Arabidopsis thaliana: one gene and its partners. The protein of the gene in region 2 binds, or shares a complex with, the protein of the main gene of each other region. Each region holds a gene or a part of one and is shown on either strand. Other genes may lie near its edges.

Evidence for each region. Proteins that work in one complex are often made in the same cells at the same time.
Region 1: BGLU22 (region 2) and GLL22 share a complex: the UniProt entries of both Arabidopsis thaliana proteins name them as parts of the PYK10 complex.
Region 3: BGLU22 (region 2) and JAL22 share a complex: the UniProt entries of both Arabidopsis thaliana proteins name them as parts of the PYK10 complex.

What each region holds. Positions count from the first base shown.
Region 1 is NC_003070.9:20,152,217-20,159,371, forward strand, and holds GLL22 (GDSL-like Lipase/Acylhydrolase superfamily protein), read right to left. Parts: upstream 4,305-7,155; 5' UTR 4,150-4,304; coding exon 3,891-4,149; intron 3,567-3,890; coding exon 3,448-3,566; intron 3,217-3,447; coding exon 2,748-3,216; intron 2,661-2,747; coding exon 2,332-2,660; 3' UTR 1,938-2,331; downstream 1-1,937. Other genes in the region: GLIP3 (GDSL-motif lipase 3), read left to right, coding at 1-199, 289-536; AT1G54010 (GDSL-like Lipase/Acylhydrolase superfamily protein), read right to left, coding at 6,638-6,951, 7,040-7,155.
Region 2 is NC_003070.9:24,704,427-24,712,726, forward strand, and holds BGLU22 (Glycosyl hydrolase superfamily protein), read right to left. Parts: upstream 5,571-8,300; 5' UTR 5,312-5,570; coding exon 5,147-5,311; intron 4,989-5,146; coding exon 4,919-4,988; intron 4,842-4,918; coding exon 4,786-4,841; intron 4,457-4,785; coding exon 4,381-4,456; intron 4,258-4,380; coding exon 4,180-4,257; intron 4,091-4,179; coding exon 4,003-4,090; intron 3,915-4,002; coding exon 3,662-3,914; intron 3,569-3,661; coding exon 3,453-3,568; intron 3,376-3,452; coding exon 3,158-3,375; intron 3,054-3,157; coding exon 3,019-3,053; intron 2,912-3,018; coding exon 2,809-2,911; intron 2,726-2,808; coding exon 2,617-2,725; intron 2,541-2,616; coding exon 2,333-2,540; 3' UTR 2,086-2,332; downstream 1-2,085. UniProt on the Arabidopsis thaliana protein: Beta-D-glucosidase active on scopolin >> esculin >> 4-MU-glucoside. No activity with DIMBOA-glucoside, pNP-glucoside, oNP-glucoside and sinigrin as substrates.
Region 3 is NC_003071.7:16,412,097-16,419,867, forward strand, and holds JAL22 (jacalin-related lectin 22), read right to left. Parts: upstream 4,750-7,771; 5' UTR 4,683-4,749; intron 4,642-4,682; exon of another isoform or gene 4,235-4,641; 5' UTR 4,228-4,234; coding exon 4,027-4,227; intron 3,704-4,026; coding exon 3,242-3,703; intron 2,969-3,241; coding exon 2,510-2,968; intron 2,421-2,509; coding exon 2,166-2,420; 3' UTR 1,938-2,165; downstream 1-1,937. Other genes in the region: AT2G39300 (CAP-gly domain linker), read right to left, coding at 1-456, 535-773; AT2G39320 (Cysteine proteinases superfamily protein), read right to left, coding at 5,496-5,743, 5,856-6,075, 6,221-6,295, 6,395-6,421; JAL23 (jacalin-related lectin 23), read right to left, coding at 7,691-7,771. UniProt on the Arabidopsis thaliana protein: Inhibitor-type lectin that may regulate the correct polymerization and activation of BGLU23/PYK10 upon tissue damage.

The sequences.
Region 1 (7,155 bases), 4.6 Mb from region 2:
TGTTCACCAAATTCATTGATAAGAGACCGAACAAAGATAGGATCTTGTTTCAAACCTGTCGCTGAGCTTATCGACATGCACAACAAGAAGTTTCCCGATGTTTTAAGGCGGCTACAACGCCAATTATCGGGTTTTAGATACGCCCTTCATGACTATCACACTTCTCTTTCCGAAAGAATCAACAGTCCTTCAAAATATGGTTACTAAACTTGGTATTTACATATATGTAAGAGATCGATCTATAGGTTACCTTTAAGAACATTTTGTGTTATGTTTGTTAATTTTTAGGGTTCAAGGAAGGGAAGAAGGCATGTTGTGGAAGCGGACCACTGAGAGGAATCAATACGTGTGGAAACAGAATAGGACCGTCGCAAGGTTACGGCCTATGCGAAAACGTTACCGATTATTTGTTCTATGATTCCTCTCATTTGACGGAAAAGGCTCATCGACAAATCGCAGAGCTGATTTGGAACGGGCCGCCTAATGTCACTAGACCTTATAATCTCAAAGCTTTATTTGAACTTAGGCTTACATAAAAATCGCCTATATGTATGTATATGAAAATAACTGACGAGGTCACTATATATTGTCTAATAATGTTAGTCATGTAATTTTTTGAGTTAGGATAATAATAAAATCGATTAGTTTTTTTGTGTGGAAAGGAGAACAATTCTATGGTGAAAGTAAATAAACTTGATGAAATACTAAGGTACAAAGACAATTAGATAGACACAAGAAACAAGCATGTCGTAGCAGAAACCTTATTATTAGGGCTTATTTGCGTTGACCTTTCTTGCACGGGAAGATTAGCCGCCAGCGCGAGAAAAACCATTAATAACCCTACGACGATTGTTAATTTTTTTGTACGAATGTAAATTTGATTCACCAAAAACAACTTTGTTTACATTATGCAATAATTTGTTTAAATTTAAATGTTGAGCTTAAATTTTAATTAGGAAAACAGTTTGTATTTTGAAATATTAGAGACGTCTTGTGGCAAACCAGTTACACAAAGCATCATCAAACTTGCCTTTACCGTGAGTCTTTAGATCGGACTGTTCGATCGATATCCTTGATGAGGTTAGTCGCTGTTGAAAGTTGTTCCTCATGTCTTCTCATATTTTTTTCTCTACATATTGTATAAACTGCAATTTGGAAAGTACATGACCTCATATGTGTTGATGTGTGAGACTGTAGTGTGAACCAGAAACTTCGGCAGTCACCAACGTGTTGAATAGTAATATAAACAGTTGAGTTTTTCAATTATATACGACAAATAAAATGTTACCATATTAGACGGATCTACTATATTTATCATGTGATGGATCCAAATCGTTTTACTACTATTTTATGGAATTAATTATCAACATTGAACGTAGATAAAGGAGAGATAAAGTCAAGATCGGTGTGTTGCTTCAATTATTGAGATTTTTAAATTATACTATTTCAATTTGTATGTTTTAACTTATGTCCAGATTTAGCGTCATTTTTTTCTTATTTAAATAGAAAAAAAATACTTAAACTTATGACCAGATTTAGCGGATGAGATTTGTTTGGTCTTATTATATTTTTATTTTCCTGTCGCTTATGATCCACAAAATCAGATCACTAATGCCCACTATATGTATTTACTGTAATAAAATAATCCCAACTGGTAATGATATTTATTTTCAGTTTGGGAGTATTATATTTTCCCAGCTGGTAAAAGATACTTTATCATATTCGTTTTATAATTATAATTAGCTTATTGTTGGGTCAAAAGAAACCAAAAGGAATTAGCTTATTATTTTAATTCGGTGTCATAAAACGAATCAGTCATATATTTTTACATAATTTATACTTACTCTGTTTCTTTTTGTTTAATTGTTTAGAAAAAAAATTATTTCAAAAATATTGATTTTTTAGATTTTTAATACAATAGTTATTAGTTATAATTGATAAATTGTAAACTTCAATACAAATTAGTAAATATCATTGGTTTAGAGTTATTGAAAATTGTAAATCACAAAAAACAATACATTTAAAAGCAACATTTAATATATTTTCTTAATATTTATGTTTTTTCTAAAAAATCAAACAAAAATGAACAGAAGGAATATAAGATATCGAATAGATTAGAGTAAATCGATAGACTAATGAACTCTCGATAAATTCCAGGACGTGGAAAGAGTTGATAAGATCAATCTTTTATTATAGAGAAAAACTCACTAGAGAAACAGGAAAACATTGCAAATCAAAAACATCAAGATTCCGATTTTGATTCGGTTATAAATTAACTCATGACCATTGTAGAAAACCTGATTGACCCTAAAGATTGAGTTTTAAAAAGACTCAGTAATACTCGTAACCGCGGCTAGTGGACGAGCTAGAGTCGCTGGCGTGGACAGTAGCTGGCGTTGGAGGCACCCAAAATTCACGCATGGGTTCATCGACTGGGTAAACAGTAAGCTCACGGACGTTCATCGGTTGGACAACATTTGTATCGGCTCCAAAAAGAAGATGGGCAAACATTTCTTGCGCCTTCTCGGAGTTGTGACGTCCGTCGAAGAATAGGAAAGACCGTTGGTACTCACATAGCTTCGAATGCACGTTAGGTAAACCGCAACCATAAGCATCGTGAGATCCAACTCCGCAGCACGATGCGTTCGTGACGAAAAACCCTAAGAATGACAAATATTAATGACTTGGTATTAGAAGTTATAAAACTAAAACAAATGAAATTAAACCATGATAATTAACCAACTCACGGAAGTTTTGGTTCCTCTGCGTCCTAGTAAGAACGGCATTGTAGAAATCAAAGACGGTGAATTGGAAAGGAGCTGATGCAGGAGAGTTTCTAGCCATTTCGTTCAACATCGGTCCAATTTTTTCGTTGTGTTGTTTAGCCAAATCGTTGAGTTTCTCATAGCATTGATCCATCCCGGTGTTGTATTCTTGTCTGACGATGGGTAAGCAACCCAATGGAGCTAAGGTTTGGATCACGAATTTACTCGCTCCTGATGAATACAACGCGCTAATATCGTTCTTTAACTTGTTGGTCACGGAAGTAACAAAAGCTTGTTGAGCAGATGCATCAGCGGTAGGGTTGTTCTTGGTGAAATTTAAGTAATCGTTTGCACCAATGTATATCATAAATACTGACTTTGCCACGAAATCATCGTTCCAATTTGCTGCTTTCATTTGATTGAATTTTTTCACTTGTTGATTCAGAGTCATCTAAAGAACCAAAAAAGAGAAAAAGACAAAAATTAAACCAATATTATAAGTGCAATTAAAGTAAAGCTTATTGATATTAAGTCACATGCTTTTCTGTGAAGTAAAACAAAAAGAATCCCGCTTAGTATGACCGGGTCAATAATAGACAGATATAATTGATTTTCTTTGAATTAGGTGTTGACTATAGATATATACATGACTCTTATATAATAAGAAATTAAGTTTACTTACAGATTCCACCGGAGCTCCGAGTAGAGTAGCACCTTCGACGGCGAAACTAGCTCCACGTGAGACATTGACGTTCGGTTGAAGCGCCGGCGCGATCGCGAGCGGAATCTTCATGAATTTAGCTGCATTTTGTATTTTAAAAATATTTTAGTTTTTCATATAATATCAAATCATTCCTTGTACTACATCTCCGAATCTGTTGACGAAAATAATAAATAAAATTTCATAGAATGTGTCCCGAAAAGTGAATAGCCGCTGAACCAATGCATTTATAATCTTTTTTTTAATCATACTATTTACTATTTTTTAAGTAATTCACTAGTAGCATACTTAAAATGCATTTATAAATACTACTGTTTATGATTATTTTTACGTAATCATACTATTTTTAACATACTTAATGTTTTAAAGATTAGAGTAGGATTCGATTAGAAAAGAAGTCGTACCGAGGAAGTCCGGAGTGATGAGGCCGTCGGAGAATTTGCCGTTGGGATCATCTCGAGATTTTCCGTACGGCCAGAAACCTTGAGCGACTAAGGTTTTGGTGAGAGTCTGTTTGTTTCCGGCGTCGAAGTTGGAGTCACCAAAGGTGAACAAGGCGACCACCGGACTATTCTGTCCGGCGACAGTGATGGGGTTGTGAAAGAGGGTCAATACCAAAATTACACATAGAACACTGACTAAATTACAGTTGTTTGCCATCATTTAGAGAGAGGGAGAAACAGAACTGTGAAAAGAGAAGAAGATTGCTTTTGTGCCTTAGCTCGTAGACCGATTCGTTATATTTATATTGCAAGTACTACAATTTGGCAATGAAAATAATAGTTCATTTTACTATACAAATAATAACGTGTAGCGCGAGGTTCATTTTACTATACACCTATTTAACGCACTAGCAAACGATTATCGATCAATTATATTATATAGTTCGCTTAATCACGTCTGACGCATTACTGGTTTCTCTTCTACTTTATTTTTAATTCTCAACAAAATATCTATTGTTACTACGAGTACCAAGAAAGATCGTGCTTTTTTTTTTTTGGTTCAACAACAACTTACAATTACACAAGAGTCTGAATACACATAAGCTTTAACCCAATCCGGCAATATAGAATACAATTTGGGATCATAATTCAGAAAAGAAAGAGATTCCCTAGCAATTCTATCTGCCACACAATTCCCTTCTCATCGGGTAAAAGTCACTTTAACCTCTTCGAAGTGCTGAAAAGATCGTGCATTTAGAGGCAAGAAGTAGAATTAAACATACAAATTTCACGGAAATATAGGGTGTAAATGGTAACACTAAACCAGATTCAGTAATTTCTGCAGTAACCATTTGCATAAAACTAAATTTTGCTGACTAGCCAAATTCAACAAAAAAATTTCAACACCAACATATACGTAGATATGTTTATTTCTGCTAAAACTTTTGGATAATTTACGAGTACACAACTCGAATTAAAATATTTTTAATATCAAAATACATATCAAATAGATATTTTTAAATAAGTCAGATTATACTGATACGATATATGAATAATATAGATACATAAAATATCACTACCAGAATAGACAAGAGACGAATATGTTCGGATAATTATAGATAATTTGGATAATAATTTTAATAACGTTTAGATAACTTAAATCAATTATTAAAATTTTGCAAAAACAACTCATACCTATGCTAAGATATTCTTTAAAAGATAAATTATAGTAATTTCCTTAATCATCCTCATCATATTATTGATTAAATTACTTGAAAACAATTAAAAAAAACAATTAACAATCTATATTTTATCATCATGTTAATTTTTGAAATTATTTTCTTAATAGTGTTTTGACAAAGATTTTCGTTAATTATTTACATATTTTTAATAGTTCAAATTTAAATAAGAAAGAATAACTCAATTTTGCGTTGACACAATCTTAATAGTATAGGTAATAGCTTAGTTATGTATATATAAATTATAAAAACTTGTGGAGAGTTGTTCCTTAAGATTTACAGTGAAGATTAGAGAAGATTAAGTTTTGAGAGAGTGTCTATATCAAATACAGAAGAGTTGGTCCTTATTCGTTTGTAAGTTCTAGTAATTATCAATTTGATTGGAATCATTAGAACGACAGAAAGGTGAACAATTTTGTTTCTAAAAGAGTGCAGAAACTAGATAAAAATAAAACACATTTGCTTACGTGAAGATGAAGTTTTATATGAAGAACGCCTCATTTGTTTGGTTCATCTATTATCTATATATATGATTTTTGGTTTTATTTCATATGAAAATTAACTGTAAATATAGCCGGCCCCAAAGCCAGATGTATAAACTTATCTTTTCTGGAACTTTATAATTTCTACTTTTTATTTTCTTTGTTGCCAATCATTTCGAATATTACCTTGCAAGAATAATTGCAAACAAAAAAAGAGGGTAAAAAAGGTCTCAAATTGAATCCACTACCTTCTTAAATTGATTCCACCAAAATTTATCATTTTGTTCTAATGGAGTGCATGTGGCCCGAAACTTGTCTAATCTGAGCACAAAGCAGGTCATTGGACACGCTTTGGTTCATATTGTCAGGTTTATCACGTTACTCATTGAGATTTTTCTTATGGAAAAAACAGAGTTGAGGTTACATTATTATTTTAAATCTCAACAAATTAATAACAGCGCATTTCAAATTCCAAGAGCTCGTTCATGGTATAGAGATGGAAAATAGTGAGCTCAAGAACTAAACGAGTTAGATAGATTCACTAGCATCGACGTCGACGTCATGGACTAACGATGATATTCTCATCCATTGGATCCTCCCAAAACTCACGCATAGGCTCATTAACAGGATACACAATGAGCTCACGAACATTCATAGGTTGGATAACATTTGGGTCCGCTCCAAAAGATAAGATGATGAGAAAACGCTTCTTGTGCCTTCTTTTTTTAATTATGGAATTACCTTTTAATATGTGGTTGACAAAAAAAAGAAATAAATTTATGTAAAAGTTTTGTTTCTTTTAAATAAAAGATTTGCAAGGGGTAAGAGTTGCAGAGATCAATCTTTTATTATGGAGGAAAACTCACTAGAGAAACATGAAAACATTGGAAATTAAAACTACTCAAGATTCCGATATTGATCCAGTTATAATTTGACTCATAACCCTTATAGAAACCCCGATCGATCCCTAAATATTGATTTTAGAGACTCAGTAATACTCGTAACCGCGGCTCTCCCTGAGTTGAACGGTGGCTGACGTTGGGGGCACCCAAGACTCACGCATAGGTTCATCGGCAGGGTAAACGACAAGCTCACGGATGTTCATCGGTTGGATAACATTTGTATCGGCTCCAAAAAGAAGATGACCAAACATCTCTTGCGCCTTCTCAGTGTTGTGACGTCCGTCGAAGAATAGGTAAGACCGTTGGTACTCGCATAGCCTCGAATGTACGTTAGGAAAACCGCAACCATAAGCATCATGTGTCCCAACTCCGCAGCACGATGCGTTCGTAACGAAAAATCCTAAGAATGGCAAATATTAAACACATGGTATTAGAAGTTATAAAAAAATTTAAAAATGAAATTAAACCATGATAATTAACCAACTCACGGAAGTTTTGGTTCCTCTGCGTCCTAGTAAGAATCGCGTTGTAGAAATCAAAGACGGTGAATTGGAAAGGAGCTGATGCAGGAGCTGTTCTAGCCAATTCGTTCAACATCGGTCCA
Region 2 (8,300 bases):
GATGATATTTCCTCTATTTCAAATTATATGATGTTTTAGATTAAAACACACACTTTAAGAAATTTATTTTTAATTATAAAATTTGTTCTCTTGATATTAAAAATACAAAATACAAACCAATAGTCAAATAATCAAATAAAATATATTTAAAAATTGCATTGATATTAGTAAAACATCCTAAATAAATCTCTGAAATATCCTATATAATGAATCAGAGTGAGTGTTAAATTTAAAACAAAAATATGAATAAATTAAAGAATAAACGTGGAAGTTTATTTGAAAAGTAAAATTGGAAATTTAAAATAACATGTTTTTTTTTGAAACAAAATAAAAATTCCACAAGAACACTAGTGGTTGTTATACAGAAGGACTATTATTAAATATTTTAAATTGGATGATTTCATTGCACGATATATAAACGTTGAGTTGTTTTTTATTTTTCTAAATCTTGAACGTATAATATTCATCATGCATAAACGTTGAGTTGTTTTTTTTATTGAACAGAAATAAAAATCCTCAAAATATAACTTAAAGCTCATCCCTCTTTATCGCGGATGGACTTAGGCCGTGTTCGTTTCATCAGTCAGATGGATCATCTAGATAGAGATGAGTTTTGATGTTCGTTTGGTGCCAAAAACGGTTCATTCAGATGATCTATCCAAATAAATCATCTGGATGACTTTGAAAATTTAAGCTAAATTTTGAAACTTATTTGGCTGAATTTAATTGGATCATTTGGATGGAGATGATCCAGTCAAAAATAACAAATAACAAAAATACCTTAATTATTTCAATTGATTATTTATATGTATTTTTTCGATAAAAAAACAAATAGACTTAAATCTTATTTTACAACTATTTTTAAAAAATAAAAAATTAAATTTTCCACTAAAACCGCAAAATTATTTTTTTTTCCGTTAAAACCGTAAAATTTTGTTTTTCCGCCAAAACCGTAAGATTCTGTTTTTCCGACAAAACCGCAAAATCACGTTTTCCCGCCAAAACCGCAAAATCACATTTTCCCGCCAAAACCGCAAAATCACGTTTTCCCGCCAAAACCGCAAAATCGTGTTTTCCCGCCAAAACCGTAAAATCACGTTTGTCCGTCAAAACCGTAAAATCGAGTTTTTCCCGCCATAACCGTAAAATCACGTTTTCTAGTCAAAAACGTAAAATCACGTTTTTCCGCCAAAACCGTAAAATTTTGTTTTTCGCCAAAACCGTAAAATCGAGTTTTCCCATCAAAACTGTAAAACCACGTTTTCCCGCCAAAACCGTAAAATAAATTTATAAATGTAAAAAACTATTATTTGAAATTTATTTACTTTTAAATATATTTTAGATTAAGAATTAAAATTAACATGTTTACAAGTAATAATAAAAAATATAATTAGATGAAAGCATGGGTAGTTTAGGTATTTGTATTATTACAAATCATTTGGATGGAGATAGAGATAAGCAAACGAACATCTCATTCGGATGGTCCAGTCAAATGAACCGACTAAAAATGAAACGAACAAGAGTTAAATAAATCATCCAAATAGACATGTTGAATGGATCAGTTGGATGGATCTATCAAATGTAGAAACGAACAGGGCCTTAAAACCTTGACCAAAGAAATCTTTGTAATACCTGGCTGATTGTTTCTCATAACATTGAGATTATTTTTAAAATTGACGTAGTAGAATCCCAATCTGTTATATTAGAACCATCTTGCTGATATTATGTTGTGTTCATTTTTATGTACATTGTCTTATCTTATCCGATATCAAATTATGTAACTTGATTTTATCTAAATTGTTTGGAAAGATTAATCTCAAACTTGTAGCTACGGTGTGACATCTTATCCGATCTCAAATCATGGTGATTTTCTAAAAATGTTAAACTATTTCCATTGTTTTATTTCATCGCCAAGCGGTTTAAGTTGTTGAAGTTATTAGTCATTAAAATATTTGCACGATTTAGTTGTTAAGACGACGTCTAGTTATTGCATAATCTATTTCTTTAAATAGAGGTAAATTCGTATTTTCAATATTTTAAAAACTATGATATTTTTACTTCATATTTAAAAACATCAGTCCTTTTGTAAATTTAAGACTTTTTTTAATATATATAATACAATATTTCTTCATGTTTTGAAGGTAAAGATACCTTCATATAAGGATAATATATTTATACTAAAGCATTCTTGATCATGTCAAATAAGCTAGAAACTGAAGGAATACAAAACACTTTTATTATTATTAACCAAGACTTCATGAATCATGATCAATCACAAACTAAAACATAGGAAAGAAGCATTGAACAGAAAACCAAATCCTCAAAATATAACTTAAAGCTCATCCTTCTTGAGCGCGGATGGACGAACACCTTGACCGAGGAAATCTTTGTAGTACTTGGCTGATTCTTTCTCATAACGTGTGAGGTTATTTTTGAAATCGACGTAATAGAGTCCGAATCTGTTATTATAACCATCTTGCCATTCAAAGTTATCTAATAATGACCATACAAAGTATCCCGTAACTCTCACTTTGTCAATGCTGCACATACACAAATTTTCTTGATTAGATCATTCCATAGAATTGTTCTCTAAATAAATAAATAGTAAACGGTTACCAAATAGCTTCGTTCATAGCTAGAAGATGCCTCTGAAGATAGTATTTCCTGTTATAATCAGCAGTACCAACCTCAACCGAATCTTTGTCCTTAAGTTTATCTCCATATCCTAGAAAAACAACAACATTAAGATGAATATATATTTTAACTCCAAACTAAATCAACACACAGTAACCATAAATCTCGAGTTACCATTTTCCATGATCATAATTTCCGGGTTTGCGTATTTATCTTTGATGTACTTTAAAAGACTTCTAAAACCTTTAGCGTAGACGGGCAATGCAGCGGTAAGAGGCTGAAAATAAAACAATGGTGATAGATGTTATGTCGTTGAGAGAAATATTTTAATTGTTTAGTTGTTAAAACAATCTCAAACTAGGACTAGTTTAGTTTAACGCATACCTGGCTACCAATGGCGCTGTGATCTACATTCTTAGCTGAAATTTAAAAGTGAAAATGTATACATATCAATTAGTATTATAAAGAAAACATTTTCTCTTAGTTTCTTGGTTTGGTTTCATGTAAGGAAAAAAAAACTTACGTTCCCAAGCAACAAGAGAATCTTGCTTCCAACTTGGTGTAGACGGATCTGGCTTTTCATTATGGTTTGAAAATGTTGAAGTATAGTAGTTAAGCCCTACGAAATCGGTCGAATCTTTCAATTTTGCTTTTTGTGAAGAAGTGAATTTGGGCAATCTGTGACCAAGAAGGTCTTTCATGATTTGTGGATAATCTCCAAAAGTAGTTGGGTCTAGATGCCTACAAATAATAATCAAAACTCCATCAATTATATGAAATTGTATACAAGACCCCATTTTATCAAAGTATATACCTACCATCCCAACATAAAGTCAAGTACACGGCTAACAGTTGGAACGTCATTTGAATCTTTAAGATCATGTGGTTCGAACCAAGCCGGACTATGTGCGATTCCAATTTTCCCACCTTTAACCTACAAAATGTCCATTAACACAACACAAAACAAATTATATTCATATCCAAAACCTGATAGTTAATTTTGATATATATATCTAATGTAAATTACCTTTTGGCGGAAAACTTCAACAGCTTCTGCATGAGCGTTGAGGAGGTTGTGACTAACTAGATAAGCCTCATAACCTGATCGTCCATCTCGGTCTTCACAACCTTTAAGGTAGCGAGAACAACGTCCTGGCGCCTTCTTGCCTACGTCGTAACCTGCATGAGCGAAGACCCATGGCTCGTTGAAAGTGATCCAGTTTTTCACTTTTCCACCGTATTCAGTGAAAACATAATCTGCATATTCTCGGAAATCTTTCCTGTATTTTTGCAAAAAATGATATTAAACTAATAATTTCCATATAAAATTTAATTAGATGTATTTTGTTTCAATTTACAAAAACATACACAATGTTCTCGCTTAAGAAACCGCCATATTCGTCTTCTAAATCTTGTGGAGTGTCCCAATGGAAAACAGTCACAAACGGAATTATACCTAGTTACAATGTAAAAATAGATAGAAATGTTAAATAATGATACTATATTTCTTGTCTTTTTTAATTAATTAGTTTATATGTATATAACCATTTTTAAGGAGCTCATCGATCAGGTCGTGGTAGAATTTCACACCAGCTTGACTCACTCCCTTCTCCTTTCTCCCATCTAAAAACCCGTTAGTTTGTTTGATTAGTCAATAAATGTAAAATTCATTAGTTATTGATTTATATATCAATTCACCAAATTCGATTACTAAATCAAACTAGAGATCTGCAGACATATACTCACGAGGAAATATTCTTGACCATGCGATTGAGAGTCTGAATGCGTCTGTGTTTAGATTCTTCATTAGTTGAATATCTTCCTACAAACATTTTTAAGACGAGACAAATTTTCAATAATATCTCGTATAATATCAGCAAACTAAAAGTATAAAATATAAGTTATATTTGTCTTAAAATTATATTAATATATACCTTAAATTTATATTAATATATACCTCAACTTTATATTAATATATTATATATACAGTGTGGCTCCTCTCAAGGGTCTAACCATTTCAAAGTTTTGTAAGCATCCTCTGAGTTAATTTTCTCAAAATTCTTTTCAAACAAGAGGCACTTTATTGTAAAGATGTTTTTTTTCTTTTGAATATACTTTAAATTTAGATTCAAAATACATATATATATTTACCTTATAACGATGGAAGAAATCAACGGCCACATCGGCGTTGTGGCCACTACATCTCTCTGTAATTTAAAAATAAAAAGTGAATGAATTTAGATATCTAAAGATATTGTATAGAAAATATAGATTATACACTCACCTGGATTTCTCTTACAGAAGATATCCCATAGAGCAGGTCCACGACAAGTTTCATTAATTGCACCTTCAACCTAATGACATAACGAAAATAGCTGATGAGTTGAGGTAATAACATATGTTTGAATTCAGCATTTGGACTTAGGCTTGAATTTTGATGGAGACACAACACTAATACATATTTTTGAAGTATAGTGTAGTAAATAATTCATTTTGATGTCTCACAGTTTACCTGAAACGCAGCAGTAGCTGTGCCAAACACAAACCCATTAGGGAAACTTGCTCGGCTTAGTTTGGACGTCGTTGGGCACACAGGATCATCGACGGCTATTGTCGAAGAGACGACAATGGTTATGAGAAAAAGAAGCCCCAGGAGAGGGAACTTTTGCAATGCCATGGTTTCTAATTTTTGGTCTTTTGGAAGAGAACAAGTTTGTGATGATTTGTTTACATCTAAACAGAGTTCTTAATTATATAGTGATTTTGATTGTTTGGTAATGACAAATAAGTCACTAAACTATATTTGTTTAATAAATTTATTTTATATATAGGTGTGTTCTTACTTATTTTTCAAAGTTTGGAACATATTATATTACGCGTGGAACATATAATAAAAACGTGCCTTTAAATAAATAGTGTATCCTATCAAAAAAAAAAAAAAATCGTGTATGTCCTATAACTGAAGTCTTCATCTATTGTTGCACCTTCGTCTTAATAATATTTCTCGTGTTTAACGAGCAACAATATTAACATTTAATCTTCCATAATCAACGGATCTCTCATTTAATGTCTACTTTCAAATATGCAACCAGATCTGTTTTACAAGAAAAGAAAAAGATATGCCAACAAGGCCTCGTTAATCATTTTCTTTAATTTTCTATAGTAATGATCCAGATCGAGTTTTTGGATCTTACTTTAGGTATTATTGACGTTTAAGATATTAATATTTATTGAATAAACTTTCATTTACTTATCCCACTAAGATAGTATACAATTATTTAACTATTGTATACGATGGTGGTTAGGAGCAACGTGTCCCCATGAGAAACTTTTGCAATGACATTTTGGTTTTTAGTTTTCTTTTTTTTCTTTTGTCTTGATTAAGAAAACAATTTTAGGATGGTTCATTTATATGTTAGTGTCGTTTTTTATAGCGATACTGATCTCTCATTAATGTCTTGTTTTTAATATGCCACAACCAGGCCTCGTTGATAATGTTTATTTTATTTTACTATATAGATAGATCTAATCATCCAAATGGTGTTTTCGATCTTATCTTAATCATGATTATTATTGACGTTTTCATAACTTAATATAATCTTTCATTATTGGTTTCCGCTTGACTATTATTTAAATAGGATGATTCATTCGATGAGAGATCCCGGGTGACTAAGCTAAACTATACAATTATAAATAAGAAAATCTAGTGTATGACCTATATCTTCAAAATCTTGAACCTGTAGTAGTCGTCCTGATCATAGGATACATTGGTAACTTATGGACCGTAAAACCTAAGCAAAAGACCTTATAATGGTTATCAAACAAGTTATTAGATATCAAGACACAACCTCCAATTAGACTGGGAGTTTGGAATGAGTAATCTTCGGTTTCGGACAAACAATTGGTCACATTCTAGTCGCATGCTGACTGCTGTCAGGACAGTGCGGTAAAGCCTAATTAAGATCAACGAAATTTAGGCATCAAAATTAAAATATAAATGTGGGGCAACTTTTTTGCCCAAAAAAACACAAATTGGGGTAACTATTATTCACCAAACATTTTTCTTGGTCGATCAATTGGTGGTGTAATTGATTATTTTTCTTTCAAACAACTCAATGAGAAAGTCCATTTAGATTTGGAATGACCATTTCTCAAAATGCTACACTTCATGGCCTTTGTGATCGAGGACATTGAAAGCTACTATTTACATGATCAGAAAATCTGGTAAGTTTACAAGTCCATATATATGTCAAATATTGTACCTTGGAAGAAAGCAACTTAAAAATATGTGTATTCCTCTTAGCTGATGCCCTACCAAAGCACATTGCGACTCACTACTCTCGTCTAGTCGTCATAGAAGAAGAATACACTGCGACTAGTTTTTTTTGCTCTCCTAAGAATGAAGAAACGGTTGGTACAATCTTTTACTAACTATGGCCAGTTCAATTACTTACCCTTGGTTACTTCAATGATCTGGATCAGTTAAGAGTCTTTGTGTATCTTTATGGCGTAGTCAAGGAAATGGAAACTTCCAATTAAATATAAAACTATTAAATACTAAAAAATAAAATAAATTCGACATGTGTCACGATTAAGCAACAAATATATATTAAATGTGACTGAATGAAAGTCGTTGTATAACTCCAAAATAATGAAGCTTCCTTATATATCATTAAAAACACATGTAACGACAATCTCTCTTGGTGTTTGACTTTGAAGGTGTTCTTGTTTTACGTCACGATGCATCAGCAATCACATTATTGTACTTTGATAATATTGTTAAGTATTAACAATATAATAGGTTCCACCTTCCACGCATTATGATCAGTAAATCACATTGTAGATTATTATTACTTTGATAAATATTTAAATCGAATATGTAGTAGCTAGAAACCTTTTTTTAACATACCATCTTTTTTCGTTGATAGTATTGCGCTGACGCTTATTTTGCTACTTGATGGCGATGCACCATCTATCTGTAAATAGATTTTTAGCATATTTAAAATACTAAGGTTTAGCCCGGGCTACGTTTGGTACTTATTTGGCGATAATTAATTTTAAGCTAGTTGAATTAGTTTTATTTTTAAAATTCATCAAACCTAACTCCACTACGGTGATACATGACTTCATTTTTGTTACATTATGAAGTTGATCAGGGTATCTTTATCGAACACTGTAGACATTAAAACAAGTATAAAAACAGATACATGTATATTTTCTTGGTACATACAATTTCGGCATTTCCTCCAACTGTAAAATAAGCAAAGATAAGTGACACATGTTTACACTTTACATAGTCCTCACCACAGCCATCATCTAACTCTCTTTGCTTCCACCACCACCTCCGCTTCTCCCTCTGAACGTCGGTTGCGAGTTGCGACCACCTCAGGTCCGTCTCTCACCCATGGAAACATGGGCATCTGCTACGGTCCACAAATTAAAAGGTCCAAAATTTGTTTGTATTTTAGTTGTTGGAGTTGGAAAAAAACAATAGAAGAGCCCTTTATATGTTGAAGATAAAAGGCCCCAAAAATTATTAACTTAACATAACAGGCCCATAAAACAATTAACCTAGTTAACTAGTTTAAAGAATTCAATCCGAATCTTCCTTATTGTCCTCCTTTTAGTTTTTGAGACTCACTCAGATCATGATCAAAATCACAAGC
Region 3 (7,771 bases), on a different chromosome or scaffold from region 2:
TGGTCGTCCGGATAATATTCATTCACAGGTTCATATTCTTCAGTCAAAGGAACAACAACATTAGCCAAAACATCCGAGTTTGAGTCAAGAATTTTACCGCAAACATCTTGTATTCTGATGGGCTCATAACTCAAAGCCTTCGACTTGCCCTGAGTATTATGAGAGAGTCTTTCAATAACACTTCTTGCAAGTGAACGAGCTGATGCATCCCTCAAACCTTTAGACTTCCGTTTATCTTTGCCACTCTCTGATAACGGTGAAGGAGATTGAGCTCGCGGTGGAAGCCTCCTTCTACTCCCAGAGAGACTACTACTATGCAAAGAACCGCTCTTTTGCTTACTCCGTTCTAAATGCTCTTCTCCATCAATGTAACGATCCAAGACTTGACTCGAGACATTGCTAGAACATGTTGACATACTTCCATATTCTTTAAATTGTCTTTCCGGAGTTAAACATCTGATGAAACATACAAATTAACAACTTAATATAACAACAACAACAACAATGTCATAGAAAGAAGAGTTTATTTATTACCGTGACGAATGATTCCGCAGTCGATGCTGATTTGAAGAAGTTCCATCAATGACAAAAGCAGCAGAGGACAAAGAACGGCTTCGTCTAAGAGCAGCTCCAGATACTTCACTCTGAGACTTGTTAAGACCCTTTGGACTATTCAAATATCGTTGAAAGTGATCATCTTTTTGCTTGTGAAGCTGTTTATTATGATCAGTTCCATTACCAGATGATGACTTGAAAAAGAAAAGCTTCTTCATTGGTAACAAAGGTTCACTAGAGTTGTGCAGCTGGAATCAAAATTATAAAGAAGCAAAATAAGAAAAAGGTTTCTTCTTTGTTCAAAAAACAAAAGGCAAAACAGCGCATAGAAAGGGACATTGATTAGAGACAGTAATCATGAAACACAAAGGTTTAACAGAGCAGAGAGTGTTCTAAAGTGAAGTCTTACTTAAACACTTGCTCGATGAGAATAATTCAAGAGCATCTTTATTTTTAGCTTTGAAGATTTAGATATAATGGTTTAAAAATAGAAAACAAGATCAAGATCGCCACAAATTACGATCAAAATGAAGAAAATGTCAGAGCTTTTCTGACAGATCCATAAACATCGAAGTGAGTCGTAACACAAGTCAAAAAGACATAACTACCCTTTAAACCTTTCCACTAAAAAAACCTTAAAAAACGAAGCAGAGCATCGAACCTGAGTCTCTCAGTGGCGAAGAAAACAAAGAAGAAAATTTTCAGAGGATTTACGATCAATCAAATACAAATATGGATCAGTAACAGTTTTTTTGTTTGAAATTCAAAATAGAGAAACCAAAAAATCGATGGAGTTATGAAGTTTACCGTATAAACAGAGAGATTGATTCCTCAAAATCGGAAATCGAGGAGATATGGAGGGAAACTCAATCAAAAATCAAAACCGATATTATCAAAGCTGAGTTTTTTTACGGCGTTTAGTTAAACGGAGAGACTTTTTTTACAAGAAGGAAGAAAGCGTTACGGCGGCAGTGTAACGGAGAGAGAAAGGCGTAAGGACAGAGAAACAGGGTTTCTCCGTAAATTCGAGTAGCAATGAAGGGTAATATGGGAAATTGAGTCCGTTCACTTTTTAAATCTTTTTGAAGGAGCGGGCCTTTTTGATTGTTTTTTATTGTGGGCCTAAAATTGTCTTTTTTAGCTGTATATTTTGGTAAGCAAGCATTACTCAATTTTGTTTTTGCCTTTCTCTTAATTAAAACAAATAAGATAATCAGTCTCTGTGAGATTTTTAATTGCTAACTTGTTTGAGGTTTTAAATAGTACCATGCTTTGATAATTATCAGTAAAATATAATGTGGACTAATAAATCTTAGTGATTTGTAATAATAATGTGGTATTTTTTTTCTATTTATGCTAACTAATAAAATAACTAGAATTGATTAGGGGATTTATTGAAATTAATAGGCATGTAGATTTTTAGAACCAGATTAATTTTTTGGCAGTAAATAACAAGAAATCACAAGCCAATCTTATTGGAATTATTAGCACACAGTAAGTTACTTGAACTTACAACCACGTATTAAAAGTAACATAGTAAAGAGAACACACACACACACACACTCCAATCTTATTGGAAGTTTCATGTAGTATATATGACTAACTGGTTTTCACTCGGTGGTGGTGATGGGCACGATAGTGACTCCGATGCTGTGAACAACATCACTAGCTTGTCCATGGAATCCAACGATCTTGTGGCCTTCCTCTCCAAGCGAGAACTTCTTACCAGAATCCATTCCAAACGGCATTGACTCCCTTTTGTTGGTCTTAAACTGAAGACATACAATTATTGGTTCCTCAACTCCGAAGATCTTATCGTAGTAGCCATCTATGTTCATGAGATATTCACCATCTTCAAGCACAAACTGCAAAGATTCAAAACCAACAAAGGATAAGTGTAAATAATCTAGAATGAATTGAAAAAAAAAAAAAAAAATTGTTGTTTTTAAATGACCTCTTCAGCTCCGAGTAATGTCTTCTTCCCATGGTCATCTCCGGGTACAAGGTCTTTGCCCTTACTGTACTCAAATTTGACAAAGGATACACCATCGTTACCTTGTCCTACAAGTATCTTCCTTACACCGTCGTAGACACCATCATCCCATGTAACTCCTTCGTTGCCGCCTATCGCTGGTAGTTTCTTAGATGGAATCAAGGGAGTAGGAGTAGGAACAGGTCCAAAATATGCTCCAAGAGCATCAATAGCTGCATCTTCCTTTCCATGGAACCCGACAAGCCTATGACCCTTTTGCTCCAACACAAACTTCTTACCCACATTATACCCAAAGAATGATGTTCTCCCCTTTGATGTTAAGAACTTAAGTGACGTAATTGCCGTATTGCTAAAAATGTTTGGCTTCTGATAGGTTGCTTCCACCGATTTGATGTATTCATCTGGGTAACCAAGCACAAACTGCAACAAGAAGCAACAAAATAAGAAGACTTTTTGTCTTAAGAGATCTAAATACATGTGTCAATTATATCTACAAAAATTTGAACCGGAGTGTGTGAGAGTTATACTTCATACTACTGCAAAGAATCTACAAACACAATAATTAATCATTGATATTTGGAACCTAATTTATGTCGTTGTACTAATGATCACATATAAATAGAGTTTAACAATTTATAACATTTTTGAGAAATTATTGAACTAGTCGTGTATAAGAAGAACTAGTAAAGTTACCTCGGATGGTGTATCTCCTTTCCCCCCATGGTTACATGTTTTTGCTTCCCCGTCTTTCTCGTACTCAACCTCTAAATAAGTGATACGAGAATTATCTTGATCAATACGCAGCGTTTTAATGCCATCGTAAGAACCATCATCCCAAACACGCCCGTCTGTACCACCTTGGGCATCAAGCTTGTAAAGAGGGAACGGCGTGGTATCCAATACAAAGTAAACTCCAAGAGCGTCGACAGCATCACCTGCCCGTCCATGAAACCCTACGATCTTCTTTCCCTCATCCTCAAAAACAAACTTTGTACCGGTCGTAATTCCAAGTAAGTTTGGACCAAACAATGGAGACTTTCTACCCTTTGAGGTCTTGAAGACGAGGGACGTAATCACCTCTGTGGCAATGAGAGCCACTTGGTGGTAACTTCCCTCCACTGCTATGATGTGTTCGTCCGGGTATTGAATTACAAACTGTATGTAATAGTAACATATATTCAATAAAATTTATAGTATTTAATATTGATAGGTTTAGGATAATTCTCAAGATTTCCTAGTCCTAATATACAGTATCTGAGTTTTGGTTTTATAACGTTGTCTTAGTGTTTGTGTCTTATTCATTTACACAAGTAGTGTAATACAAAAAAATTAGAGAGTCACTAAAGGGTATCCGCCTCAGAAATACTTGCTTCTTCTTGTTTATGTCTTAAAGGATTTATCCAACGTTAATCCGAATTCACAAGAGTAATTTACTAGTATCGCAAAAAATTAAGGGTGAGAATAAATGCAATGAGAACCTCTTTAGGGTGCTGATTTGTTGTCCCATATTCAGTTGTTACTACTTCGCCGTCTTCCTGCACGTACTCAAACTTGATGTAAGTGATACGGTTGAGATCTTGCCCTACATACACTTTTCTTACACCCTCATATACATCGTCGTCCCATTCTTGTCCTCCCTCACCACCGCAGAGTGCCAACTTCCGGTACATCTTCGCCATTTCGAATCTAAAAAATATTGTAAAATGCAAAAATTACTTCTTATATAGATAATCCAAAAACGAAAGTATATATGTACAGCTTTATATATAGTTTTTAAAGCTGGTTTGTGGTTAGTAATACATAAATACCATGATAACACTGTATAGCCTATTCAAATACATAGCAAAAACACCAAAATGATCCAAGAAACACAAATAGAACAATCAACTGATCATGGGTAAATATTTACTGTTTGATGTTGATAGCTCTATTATTGGTGATGTGGTGTAATATAAATCAATCAATTAGGTTTAAAAGTGTTTGTTAAATCTAATATATTCAAGAATACATATCTACATATAAAGAGCTACTTCTTGTTTTAAAAACATTTTGTGAAGCAACATACATAGTAGTGGAAACTAGGAGTTACTTTAAAAAAAAAAAAAAAAAAAAAAATTGAAGGGAGAGAGATAACCAGTTAATTATTGAGCTCTGAATGATGGAAGGAGATGAAGCTTATGGGTATTGAATTGTGTGTATTTATTGACAATCTTTGGCATACAAGGTCTTCTTGATTGTCTTTAATTAATCATTTTAATAATCAACTCGTGTGACACGAGAGACTCCCTCACAAATGCAACAAATAATTAGAGTCCATTACGAGTGCAATATATAATAATAGCATACAACTTTCTAGATGCAGAGATATTTTAAAGTACGACAGATGAACAAAACAATTCATCAAAACAGCATAAACCAAATTCAATATATTGTTAACTAAAACAAATTTGATGATGTTAATGTTGCGATTCCCACCAAAATCTCCTATTTAGTATTAAGAATCTTTTTGACTGCACATTTTGAAAACAGATTTAGAATTATTATCTTCAAACTAAAACGGTGTATAAGCTTTATTTCCTAAGTTACTGTCAGAAATATCATTCATTAAAGTTTCAAATGAATTTAACAGTTATTTAAATTTTGTATAAACTGTGTTCATGCAAAAGTTTGGCTTATCATCATCATATATTCATGTCCTTGCTTTTTGGAGTCGTTGAGGATCGACGGTTGGATACCATGGAGACGATGGTCAAGTTATTTTGGGACGCTGATGTTATGTCATGATGACTCTTTCACATTATCATGTTGTGTTTTATGATTATCAGTATCTAAGGCTCAAAACTAGAATAAGCTCGAAAAGAACATAAAAGAGTCAAAACAACCACAATGATCCCAATAATAACATACAACTTGTCAAATGCAGATACACTTAATTTATCAAAACAAATCATTCAGAATAGTGAAAGTGGTGATTTCTGTTCTTCTTCTCCTTCTTCTCCTTCTTCTCTTTCTGCACCTTGGCTTTCTTCTTATCCTCCTTATCCTTCTTCTTATCCTCCTTGTCCTTTTTCTTCTCCTCCTTCTCCATGTCCTTCCTTTCCTTCTCCTCCTCCTCCTTTTTCTTCGCCTCATTCTCCTTCTTCCTCTGTAGCTTCATCCAGACTGCAGAACTCGATGATGAAGATGAACGTGAACCTGAAGCAGCCAACAAGACGAAGAATAAGAATGATACAATATTGCTCAAAGCCTCAAATCAAGAGTAAGGAGATGAGATGTATATACAATGGAGAAGGAAGAGAACGTTAACCTTTTTCTTTATTTTTTTTGTAGATGGAGTTGAAATGGATCCCAGCTAGATAGCTCATATGAATGACTTTGTCCGGTTCCTTTTGAGACTTGGGCAAAAACTCCATAAATGGAATAAGTTTGATTGATGTAATGAGTATTATTTTTACTTGATACACATCAGCAGCCACTCTCAAAGTCACTTCATCGCCCCATTGGGAATTAGTGGACAATGACATGTTCTTTATGGGAGAAGTCCATATGATCAACAAACCCTTTGTAAATCTTCGGATGAGTTTTAAGCTGAGAGTCATCAATCAATCAATCATCATATGACATTAATACACGTATGAAAAAAACAATCAAAAGTTTGAAGATTGATATTACCTGTTTTACGATTTCTTGTCTAACAAGTTCATGACAATCCGAATTTTGATAAAGTTGATCCGCCAAAGCACGGAACTGAAATAGAATTATTGACAAAAACATGAAAAAGGGTTATTCATAATACGATCAAAAATATATATCAAGTTGATTGTTTGATATAGAAACATTAATTACCTGGCAATTTCCATCACTTTTCATCATGATTTCGGTGTAATTTTCCCATTCCAATCTGAAAATCCAGGAAGAATAAGAAATAACATATATAGTCAGAGATTATCAGGCAAAAAAATAATTGGAACAAAGTTTACAAGAAGAATCGATCAATACCTATACTCAAGTATTTCGCGATCACTAAGACCGTCCAAACACAACGACTTGGTCTGAGTATTAGACATCTTTTAGAGTTGAGATTGATCGATGGTTATTGATTCAGAACAGAGTCTCGATCTCCTCTCTTAGAAAAGATTAGGGCTGCTAGGTTTAACGTTTCTCAAAAAAAAAAATCTTTCTCCAACAGTTAATTGTGAATTATGATGATCCTATCCTTTAATATACTAAAAGAACGAAAAAGAAAAAGCAAAAAATTCCATAATTAAAAAAATAAACGAAATTTACAATTATCTTAAGGAAAAATAAATAGTTCATTTCTTTATGTTTATACCGATGGTATTGTTTTATTTGCGTATGATTTCATTTTCACTTGTATATGTGCCACGTAGGCCTGGGCACGAATCGAATATCCGGAAAATTGGGGATATTTGTTATTCGATTCGTTTTAATCGAATACTTAATTTTATTATTTGCTTTGATCCGAAAATTTTCGAATAAATGAGTACGATAAAAAATGACATCAAGTATTTGATATATTGAGTAAAAGGAATTAGAAATATTAATTAGATGGCAATTTCCATCACTTTTCATCTTGATTTCGGTGAAATTGTGCAACTCCAATCTGAAAATCCGGAGAAAAAAAACATATTTAGTCATGATTAGATTCATATGTAGGAAAAATATATATTTATTTTCTTAAATATATAGGACGACTCATTTTCGATTACTTTTAATATTATTTTTTGTTAAGATTACTTTTAGTCATTTGGGCAACATATGCATAATCAAATCTTGTAAGACCACTTTAGAGATCTGGGCTTTGAGGAAGACAACAATGAGAAAGCTTCTTTTTCTAATGTCTATGTCTTTGAAATGTTACAAGGAGCAATTAAAATAGTGGGTAAAAAGTTTCATTACATCAGTGGGGCTGTGTGTTCAATGTTAGCTACTCTGACACGGCTCATGGTAGATTTATTGAATAGTTGAAGAGAGCACACCAATTCTTATTGGACATATTTGACAGAAACAGTAAGTTACAAACACATCAAAAGTAGTAGAGTAAACACACCAATCCTTATTGAATGTTTTCATTTAGTCGACATGGCACTGGCTGGTTTTACTTATATAATAAAAGGTTTTTCACTTGGTGTTGGTAATGGGCACGACAGTGACTCCGATGCTGTGAACAACATCACTAGCTTGTCCGTGGAATCCGACGAT